Ovis aries: one gene and its partners. The protein of the gene in region 1 purifies or fractionates together with the protein of each later gene. This does not show direct contact. Links are inferred from orthologs where the notes say so. Each region holds a gene or a part of one and is shown in the gene's direction. Other genes may lie near its edges. The genes, in order: MBIP, KAT2B and ZZZ3.

Region 1 (2,805 bases):
GCATCTAAGTCAAAAAAGGTGTCTGGCAAAGTTAACTTTAGTCCACCCCTGTTCACAGTACTACTGTATTAATTGAATCTTTAAAATTTTATGTTTATCCAGTATTATCATTTCAACATTTAATAGATTATTTTTTACAGGTTATACTCCACTTAGTTATTATAAAATATTGGTTATATTCCATGTGCTGTGCAGTATGTCAATGTAGCTTATTTCGTACATAGAAGCCTGTATCTGTTAGGCTCCTACTCCTATCTTGCACCTTCCCTCTCCCCACTGGTAGTTTGTTCTTTTTCCACATATAAGTGTTATCATACAGCAGTTGTCTTTTTCTGTCTGACTTGCTTCACTTAGCATATTACCCTCCGGGTCCATCTGTATGGTTGCAAATGGCAAAATTTCATTCCTTTATTGTGGCTTATTTTTGTATTTGTCCCAGATCTAGTGCAAAGGTATGGAGGAGGCCAGAGCATGGTGAGTGTAGGAACTGAGGTGGCTGCTCTGCTGTCCAGGATTTGGACTTTCTCTGTGGCTCTTCTGTTAGTGCCCAAAGCTCAACTCTAAGCTGCAGTGTGGAGTGGACATGCTGGGAGACAAACCACTGTGTTCCTGAGTGCTCTGACAGTGGCCACCTCCTTCCCACCCCAGTCATACTCTTGGCACCCTTTTCTGTTTCTGCATAGCTGAACAGTCTTTTCCCAGTGTTTGTTTGGCCCAGATCTAGCAGGCTGTGGTATGGAGTGAAGGAGGCTGGCGGTGTTCACCTCTTTAGATTGAGAGATCTAGCAAGGCAGCATCTGCCAGTGCGAGGCTCTCTGCACCATGATTATTGGGAATCCAGCACAAGTGCTCCTCGCTGTAGAGTCTAGGCTTCACCAGCCCTTCTGTCTGTCGCAGTGGATTTCCCAGCAGGTGTGGGGGCTTGTCGCCCCTGTGCAGGACCCCAGGACTGGAATTCCCAGATTATGGCTTAGCCTGCTTGCTCCCTCCCCAGTGCCAGCGTTCCTCCCTTGGAAACCTTCTCTTCCTTACATATCCATCCCAGGGGCACAAGTTCTGACCTGATGTTTGGTTTTTCTGTATTACCTGGTTTCGTAGAGATCTTTCTTGCAGCTTTGGTTGTATAATTCTGCCATTTCCAGTTAATTTTCTGTGATAGTTGTTCCACATGTATATTTTGATTGTTTGCGGAGGTGAGCTCCACATCCTTTGCAATCTTGATCCCCTTCTATTTTTAATTGTAAAACTTTGAAATTTGAGTGTCCACTTTTTTTTTTTTTTAGATTAACTGCAATCAACTACCTTGGCTATCAAAAGAGAATTCCCAGTTACTTTAACCAATTAAACTAAAACTTTTCCTTTTTACTATTGACTATGAGAATAGGCAGTTGAAAAAATGTTTTTATGACCCTTTCAAAGTAGAAAAGGTCCAAGATAGCTTAGTCATTAGAAAATTAAGAAATTACGAAAAGTAAGAAATACTTAAGCCTTGTTGTTTTATGCCTTTAAATTTATAGCATAGTCAACATATATGGTTCAATTTAAAAATTATTCTCATGAGAGTTATTTACCATGCTTTTGGATATTTTATGTATTTATATAGTACATTTAGCAGGTTACCTTCATTAAAAGTCTTACTCGGCAATTTGTGTTATTGTTTACAGCAGAACTATTCACTGGCTGAACTTGATGAGAAAATTAGCGCCCTCAAACAAGCTCTGCTCAGAAAATCAAGAGAAACAGAATCCATGGGGACACGTCACCTTCCATGAAAAACTCCTCTCCTTCTCATTGTCATTTTATTTTTTTAGATATGTGTGTAACTTACATATCTATTTAATTAATTGCAGTGTTTTTATTAATAGTAGACTTACCTCTGAAATCAAGGTTCATTTTCACGTGAGTCCATTTTGTTGCAAGCAGTCTTCAAATATTCCAGTATACTTTAAGATAGTTAATGCGTTGAAAGTAGCATTGTTGGAATTTATTCCCTTCTGTTTTAAAGGAGGTATTTTGAAAATTGAAAACCTTAATTAGAAAGTACATCTTTGTGTGTATGTGTGTTTATCACAGAAAGGAAGATTTATTTTGAATAGTGATGTTTAAGACGACTTTGTATTTTTAACATTGATGTTAACCAGTTTTAGTTTAAAACAGTACTTTGTACATAATAGGCATTCAGTAAAAGTTTGAAATGAATTTTAAGTGCATATATTCTTTTCCAAGTGTCAATTTAATCTAAATAAATAGATCATACCTTTTAGGGCTTCCCAGGTGGTGCTGCTGCTGCTAAGTCACTTCAGTCGTGTCTGACTCTGTGCGACCCCATAGACGGCAGCCCACCAGGCTCCCCCGTCCCTGGGATTCTCCAGGCAAGAACACTGGAGTGGGTTGCCGTTTCTTTCTCCAATGCACGAAAGTGAAAAGTCAAAGTGAAGTTGCTCAGTCGTGTCCGACTCTCAGCGACCTCATGGACTGCAGCCTACCAGGCTCCTCTGTCCATGGGATTTTCCAGGCAAGAGTACTGGAGTGGGGTGCCATTGCCTTCTCCCAGGTGGTGCAGTGGTAAAGAATCCGCCTGTCAATGCAGGAGGCTCAAGAGAGGTGGGTTCCATCGCTGGGTCGGGAAGATCCCCTGGAGAAGGAAATGGCAACCCACTCCACTATTCTTGCCCAGAAAATTCCATGGGCAGAAGAGTCTGGCAGGCTACAGTTCATGGGGTCTCAGAGAGTCAGACAAGACTGAGCACAGCACACACACATACCTTTTATTCTCTTATTGATTATGTGACCTTAAACAAGTTA
Region 2 (3,653 bases), on another chromosome or scaffold:
TTCTTCCCATTCTCCTGTAAGGAGAGTTTTACCTTCTCTCCATTACTTATTTGTTCATTTCTTATTTTATCACTTTGGACTCAGATGTCTTAATTTTATCCAGTGGGTTGTAACTACCCTTGTCTTTATCATCAAGCTCACACTGGCCACATGGCTTCTGTCTTAGAGATGACGTCTTCGGGTGCTGGGCAGGAATGGAATGCTCTCGCGTACACTTGGTTCATTACTACCCAAGAAAGACGGCATTTAATGCCTTCTCTTCCTTCTCCTGGGGGCAGTTATCAGTCCACCTCCTGTGGCCGGGACAGTTTCCTACAATTCGAGTTCCGCTTCCCTTGAGCAGCAGAACGGAGGGAGCACCAGCCCATCCTGTCGAGGCGCGTCCGGGCTTGAGGCAAACCCAGGTAAGCTCGGAGGGCACCAGCGAGGGCTGTGATTCCCGAGAAGCTCCGTTATCTGAGGAGTGCCAAAGGGAGCCTTAAGTCAACTGCGTGCTGTGCGTGTCAAGGATCTTAATGGCTGGAACTCCCTCTGGGCTGCATTGGCTAGTTATTGCTGTGTAACAAGCCAACTTGAAATGCAGAGTCTCAAACTGTGATCCTTTATCGTCACAGCTCACTCATTCTGTGTGCTGCCTAGGAGGTGGCTGATAAGGCTCGACTCCGACAGGCTGTGCTTGCATAGTTCTCGTCCTCCTTTGAGGACCACCGGGTGTCTTTTCCTTTCCTTGGGGCAGAATGCGTCCTTATGATGATGGCAGAGGCACCAGAAAGCAGGCAGAAATGCAGTTTCCTGCAGCTTAAGCTTGTAGCTGGTGCTCCGTGACGCCTGCCTTATTTTGTCATCGGAAGCGAATCACGTGGTCAGACTCAGAGTCAAGGGGTGGGGAGATGGCCTTGACGCCTTTTGTAGGAAGAGCCACAGAATCATATGGCAGAAGCTGGAGGCAGGAGGGGAAAGAATTTGGCCGTGAATGTAATCTGCCACATGGGCAAAAAAATCTCTTAGTGCTAGAGGTGTTTCGCAGTTATAGAATGTTCCAGAGGATGCATTTGTGTCCACAGCCGTGACATGAGACACATCTTGGCACAAGCAAAGTTTGACACTGAGAGGTGTCATGAAATGGGGAGAGAACAGGGTTTTCTGTGAAGGACTAAGCGGGCAGCACTGGGGCCACTTCCAAGGGGGACGCTGCTGATCATTCTAGAAGCTCTGCCGTTGAACTCGGATGTAGCCCAGGGTGCTTTCTTATTGCAGCACTCAGCAAGCTATCAAGTTTGGAGCATATTGGGTATAAGTCTCAGCTCCAAAATAAATAGTTCACACCATTATTCTGGTGGAATTGTGGGATTTGAAGCGTTGGTCAAATGAAGGAAAATATTCTCACTCACCTCCAATAATAACAACTAAAAAGTTATAAAAACACGAACTCAACAAAAGTTGTTTTAGTAAGAAGCCTCATTTGGAAAAGCAACTTGTATGGACGAGATGCTTGACGTTGCCCTGCTGCTGTTTAGCTCAAGATGGAGCGAATGCTGTATGGAGCCTGCTTACTGGAATTCACACCTGAGGAATAAATTAGATTTGAGCATTTAAAAATTTAATTGTAAAAATAAATAAATTATGACAGAACGGGAAGAAAACAAAAAACCAGACATCATGCCAGTAGGACAGAAAGCAGCCAGGTAATCTAAGGAGTAGAGTGGGAGAGCCTTCTCCCTGCTTTCGCCGGGCCTTTCCCAGCTTGTGATACATTGTGACATCCTGGGAATGAATGTGCCTGCTTCCAAGGCCAGGGCCCTGCTCACTTTGTGAGGCATCATTTTAAGGCAAAAAAGGATTAGGAGAGATCATGAGGGTCAGTTTGTAATGACAAAAATTAAATTCACCAGCAAAGTGAAACAGTTCATGGGTGTATTTCCAGTATATGTAGACACACACACATATACAACATACACTGTACATACAACACATATACACTGCACAACATACACATACACGTCCATGCACATGTATGAAAGACTTTCCAGAACTACAAGGAGAAACGACCCACCAGAAGTTGAACACTTGAAGAAACATCTCTGATTAATTCATAGATCAAACAAACAACACTGTCAGAAGATGCTTAGTGTACAAACAGTTGGTCAAGTTTTAGGTCATAACTCGCGTTTCAGGCAGTTTTGGCCTTTGTTATCATAAGGACCATATTCTTCTGGCCACAAAGGGACAATTAGTCTCCAACATGGAGATTAACAGCCAGTGGTAATTAGACTCAGCCTTCAGTGTGCACATGAAGAGGCTGCGCTTTAATAGCTCACATGTCAAGTTGGAACCTTAGTGTAGAGAGCAGTTGCTCTTCAGAATGGTGGGCACTTGGGGGACTGTGGGCCAGCAGCTAAGACTCTGTGTCCCAGTGCAGGGGGCAGAGATTCACTCCCTGCTCAAGGAAGTCCCACATGCTGCCCAGCCAATAAAGAAAGAAAGTGGGAAAAAAAAGAATGGTGGGCAGTTCCTGCGAAAAGAGTTACCTCCTCTTTCCCGCCTTCTGCCGCGCCGCTTCTCCCTGGTACAGGGGGGGTTGATGTCCACACCTTTCAGTGATATTAGAAAATCGGTTGGATTAGTCGGCACGTGCTTTGTGTTTGAAATAACCCATCGTTTGCCCTTTTGTTTTGGTCATCAAGGAGAAAAGAGGAAAATGAGCGACTCCCATGTTTTGGAGGAGACCAAGAAGCCCCGGGTGCTGGGCGACATCCCACCGGAGCTGATCCGCGAGGCCATGTCCGCCATCACAGACCCCGCGGCGACGCTGGCGCCGGAGGTCAGCAGGGGGCGCGCGAGCCGCCCGCGGGTGGGCCCCGGGGCTCCGCAGCCGCTCGCGCTGTCGGGGGTGGGGCGGAGTTGCTGGATGCTCAGGGCTGAGAGGCGGGCAGGCGGATGAGAGGTTAATTCTGCTGATGACGGCCGTGTTGTGGGGAAACATAATCTCCGCCATTGAAGGCATTCCTCCTGCTTCAACTTTTTATCTTGAAAAATTTAAACCCTCATGAATGTTGCAAACATTCCGTGGTAAAGACCCAGAGGCTCTTTATTTAGACTCACAAACGGCTTGCATGCCACGCTCACTATCCCTCTGTCTCCCTTTGCTGTGACCGTGTGGAGCCATTTCAGAGGTAGATACAGATGTTGTAACGTTTCACCCCTTACTGTTTTTTGCACATGTCTCTGAAGACTGAGACTGCTCATTTGCATTCCCACAGTGTACTTATCACTACCAGAAACTTCAGCTGGATTACAGTATTAGCTAATGTGTGGATAGGCAGTCCACAGCCTGGGCACCAAATCCTGTCCACTTCTGGTTTTATAAATAGAGTTTTATCGAAGTACGTCCACAAAGCCTAAGATATTTGTCACCTGGCCCTTTCTCAAAAAGTTTGCTTAGAGTCATATTCAGTTCAGTTCAGTTCAGTCGCTCAGTCGTGTCTGACTCTTTGCGACCCCATGAATCGCAGCACGCCAGGCCTCCCTGTCCATCACCAACTCCCCGAGTTCACTCAGACTCATGTCCATCGAGTCTGTGATGTTACTCTTGGCCTAATGTACAGCCCATATCCAGATTGCCCATCTGCCCTAATTCTGTTGTTTATGGTATC
Region 3 (4,379 bases), on another chromosome or scaffold:
TGTGGTAGCATGTTGCCATATCTTCTGTAGTTCCTAATAACCTTTCTAACTGTTATACTACTGAGTTGAGGCAAAGGAGAGACTGTATTTGATTTGTGGGGAGAGGGGGTAGAATGGCATTTGGAGAGTTAAAGGAGAGTGAGCCTGTGGGAAGGCCGGCAAAAGGGAGGAGGGAAGAGGGTCCTGGGCAGCTATGTCCTACACCCATTACTGGCTGCTTTGTCTGTCCATCCTGCACTCCATTGGAAGTTAGGCAGTGAAGTGACAAAGTATGTTTTGAAGGCTAAACAGGTGCAGAAAAATGGAGACTTGGATTCTTAATAGCTTCTTTATTCTGCTTGTTGGGAGAACCTTGGAAAATAATCACTAAATCACTCAGTTTATCAAGATGGATAAAACAGGGCAGTATTCTATTTTCTGCTCATTTGTATTATATCAATAGAAACAGCAGAACATCCACACGAACCTGCTCATATCCTCAACATGCGTTAATACTGTGACATACACATATACTCAGGAGTTCAGAGAAGGAAAAAATGGGTTATATGTGTCTTCTTGATTTCTTAAATGTAGTGCATGTTTGGCGGGTGTGCTTCTTTCCCTTTTTCTTCTATCCTCTTTAGAATACTTCCTTTCACTTGCTAATTTGTAGTTCTACTTCTAGAGACTAGGGTGTCTTGACTTTGCTCTGTATTGCTCTTAGCAAGTATTCAGTACAACCTAGGGTTATGATTTCTATCCATCTGCTTAGTTACAGAAAATTCTACTGCAATCCAAATTTTTTAGGTACCATGTAGTTTGTTATCAAAAGATTTGACCTGAAACTCATTTTCGTAAGAGTGAATTAGAAAGAGCAGAGCCTGTCTTTTTACCTCCCAGAAATGTTTTGAGAAAACATGAGAAGTGATTGGGTTAGTTTATGTGATAGCTGTTGTATAAATTTGAGGTTATTATTTTAATAACCAAGGTGAAGTCCTGTCTTTGAGAGGGATCTTTCTGGGCCTTTTGCCCCTGAATATCTGAGAAACAGATACACAGTGAGAAGGGTGAAGAGCTCACTAGCTGCGTGGTTTTGGACATATTACTTAAACTGTATATGCTTCAGTCTCTTCATACATGAAGTATGAGTGATAATAAGTACTTTCTCTTTCTTTCTTTCTTTGGCTCCACCAGGTCTTAGTTGCATGTGGGATCTAGTTCCCTGACCAGGGATCGAACCTGGGCCCCCTGCTTTGGGAGTGCAGAGTCTTAGCCCCTGAATCACCAGGGAAGTCCCAATAAGTACTTATTCTAATTGCTGTTAGACTTAAGTGAGTTAACGTATTTAAAGCATAGAGATCCCTAAAACATAAGTGCCTTATAATTGTTAGCTATTATTAACACTTTTGGAAATGTTAATAAAATAAATTATATCACATTATTTATTAATATTGGCTATACCTGGATTAAAAAGTTATAGTTTTATACTTTTGTTTTAGGATATTAACTATTACCTTTTTCTCATTATTTTGTTTACGTTTTTGAAGGTTTCCCAATGAGTGGATCATGATGACCGTATTGTAGGGACTTGCCATAGTATGGCTGCTTCCCGATCTACTCGTGTTACAAGATCAACAGTGGGGTTAAACGGCTTGGATGAATCTTTTTGTGGTAGAACTTTAAGGAATCGTAGCATTGCTCATCCTGAAGAAATCTCTTCTCATTCTCAAGTACGATCAAGATCACCAAAGAAGAGACCAGAGCCTGTGCAAATTCAGAAAGGAAATAATAATGGAAGAACTACTGATATAAAACAGCAGAATGCTCGAGAGTCATGGGTAAGCCCTAGGAAAAGAGGACTTCCTTCTTCAGAAAAAGATAACATAGAAAGGCAGGCTGTAGAAAATTGTGAGAGAAGGCAAACAGAACCTGTTTCACCAGTTTTAAAAAGAATTAAGCGTTGCCTTAGATCTGAAGCACCAAACAGTTCAGAAGAAGATTCACCTATAAAATCAGACAAGGAGTCAGTAGAACAGAGGCGTACAGTAGTGGACAATGATGCAGATTTTCAAGGGACTAAACGAGCTTGTCGATGTCTTATACTGGATGATTGTGAGAAAAGGGAAATTAAAAAGGTGAATGTAAGTGAGGAAGGGCCACTTGATTCTACAGTAGTTGAAGAAATCACAGGCTATTTGGCTGTCAATGGTGTTGATGACAGTGATTCAGCTGTTATAAACTGTGATGACTGTCAGCCTGATGGGAACACTAAACAAAATAGCACTGGTTCCTATGTGTTGCAGGAGAAATCAGTAGCTGAAAATGGGGATTCGGATACCCACGCTTCAATGTTCCTTGATAGTAGGAAGGAAGACGGTTATATAAACCATAACGTGCCTTGCACAGATTCAGAAGTGCAGGTCAAGTTGGAGGACCACAAAGTAGTAACTGCCTGCCTGCCGGTGGAACATGTTAATCAGCTGACTACTGAGCCAGCTACAGGCCCCTTTTCTGAAATTCATTCATCTTTAAGGGATTCTGAGGAGGAAGTAGATGTGGTGGGAGATAGCAGTGCCTCAAAGGAGCAGTGTAATGAGAGCACCAATAATGCCCTGGACACAAGTCTTGAGAGTATGCCAGTCTCCGGAGAACCAGAACCATCTTCTGTTCTAGACTGTGTTTCGACTCAAATGATGTCTTTATCAGAACCTCAAGAACATCGGTATACTCTGAGAACTTCACCACGGAGGGCAGCCCCTACCAGAGGTAGTCCCACTAAAAACAATTCTCCTTGCAGAGAAAATGGACAATTTGAGGAGAATAATCTCAATCCCAGTGAAACAAATGCAACTGTTAGTGATAATATAAGTGAGTCTCTCACAAATCCTGGTGAAGTTTCTCACAGTGAAAAAGGCGTATGTTGTGACTCTAAAAATTATGGGAGTGAAGGACTAAGTAAGCCATCCTCAGAGGCAAGACTCAATATTGGACATTTGCCATCTGCCAAAGAGAGTGCCAATCCGCACATTACAGAAGAGGAAGATGATGATCCTGATGTTTATTACTTTGAATCAGATCATGTGGCACTGAAACACAACAAAGAGTATGTGTAAATATGGTAACCATGAATTCTGCTTTGTTTATTATTCCCTAAGTTTTTAGTCTCTATTCATAAATGTCTGTAGCATTTTTATTATAGCTAAAATTAATGCTTTTAACTGAAATTTTGGGTTTCACACAATGATATTCTCAACTCTTAAAAAATCTTCAAAAAAAAAAGTAAAATCCAGTTTTATTAGTAGTCTTCTCAATGGCGATGTAATTTTATAGTTTTGAGATTTCACACATCTCAGTTAGACATGTGGAAACATGGTTGATAGTGTTTTACTTATTCATAAGTTTTTTATCATTTGAGTTAATTTATAAAATGGAAACCTCTTTAGTTTTCCCAGTATACTTTGATTTATAGTTATAGAGCATTATGAATTGTATATGCCTTCCATAGAATGTAGAATAATTAATGAGTACATAGACATCATCCAAATAAGGGAAATCTGGCAGGCTGCAAATCTACATTTATCTTAGTTACTTATAATTTCCAGTTAAAACTTTTGATTTAAAAAATGTGCTTTATGCATCATCATTGACTTTTGTGATGTAGAGAAGTATTACTGTCAGTACTGTGACAGCTAACTGTATGTTGTAATTGTCTTATTAGCAAGAGTCAGTCTACTCTATAGTTTACATAAAGCATTTGAGAAAGGGTTTTCCTAATTCTAAATTATAGGGAGACTATCTTAAAATACTATTTGTTCTCAACTTTGTCATAAAGGTACTTTTTAAAATGAAGAATTCACTGTCCAGATTAATCACGGTTTTGCTTAGATTTTCTATACTGTATTCTGGGCAGTAACACAAAAGAATTGGAGCTCACTTTGTCTAAATCAGGAAAGGAACTGTTAACAAAAGTGTTTATCATAAATATGATCAGCAGCAGTAAAAGACAGACATATATATGAGTTAATCAATTTTACTTCTACAGAATAGGCTTTTGAATTATTATCACAACCAGATATCTAGACTGTGTAAAGTACTTATTTAAAGGAACCTTTTTAATATTTTTGTTCTGACAGTTGTCAGAGTCGGCTATATATTGGATGAAAGTTATCAAATCCTGCTTGTAGAATATAATAATCTTTTACCATGCCTTATAAATAGTTTAGATTTGTATTTGATAACATGGTAGTCTTTTAGCATAGATCTCATTTCTGAAAACTTCCTTCTGTTTTCTTTATAAATAGCATTTTAATATTGTGTTCAATAGATCATTTTGTCTGAGCATTTTACTTATTTTGTGGAACTATTAGCATTTTCATATATTTGAAATGTTTGAAGTCCAT

What was found.
Region 2: the proteins of MBIP (region 1) and KAT2B purify together in Homo sapiens (affinity purification with mass spectrometry; 4 studies listed by BioGRID and IntAct, counting the BioPlex papers as one, with this or other methods). This does not show direct contact. The link is inferred for Ovis aries from reciprocal best matches to the Homo sapiens genes MBIP and KAT2B.
Region 3: the proteins of MBIP (region 1) and ZZZ3 purify together in Homo sapiens (affinity purification with mass spectrometry; 4 studies listed by BioGRID and IntAct, counting the BioPlex papers as one, with this or other methods). This does not show direct contact. The link is inferred for Ovis aries from reciprocal best matches to the Homo sapiens genes MBIP and ZZZ3.

The regions. Positions count from the first base shown.
Region 1 is NC_056071.1:44,223,004-44,225,808, reverse strand, and holds the end of MBIP (MAP3K12-binding inhibitory protein 1), read left to right. Parts: intron 1-1,086; exon of another isoform or gene 1,087-1,664; coding exon 1,665-1,772; 3' UTR 1,773-2,199; downstream 2,200-2,805. UniProt on the Homo sapiens protein: Inhibits the MAP3K12 activity to induce the activation of the JNK/SAPK pathway. Component of the ATAC complex, a complex with histone acetyltransferase activity on histones H3 and H4.
Region 2 is NC_056054.1:278,352,738-278,356,390, forward strand, and holds part of KAT2B (histone acetyltransferase KAT2B), read left to right. Parts: intron 1-278; coding exon 279-404; intron 405-2,684; coding exon 2,685-2,821; intron 2,822-3,653. UniProt on the Homo sapiens protein: Functions as a histone acetyltransferase (HAT) to promote transcriptional activation. Has significant histone acetyltransferase activity with core histones (H3 and H4), and also with nucleosome core particles.
Region 3 is NC_056054.1:54,078,740-54,083,118, reverse strand, and holds the start of ZZZ3 (ZZ-type zinc finger-containing protein 3), read left to right. Parts: upstream 1-1,526; 5' UTR 1,527-1,577; coding exon 1,578-3,082; intron 3,083-4,379.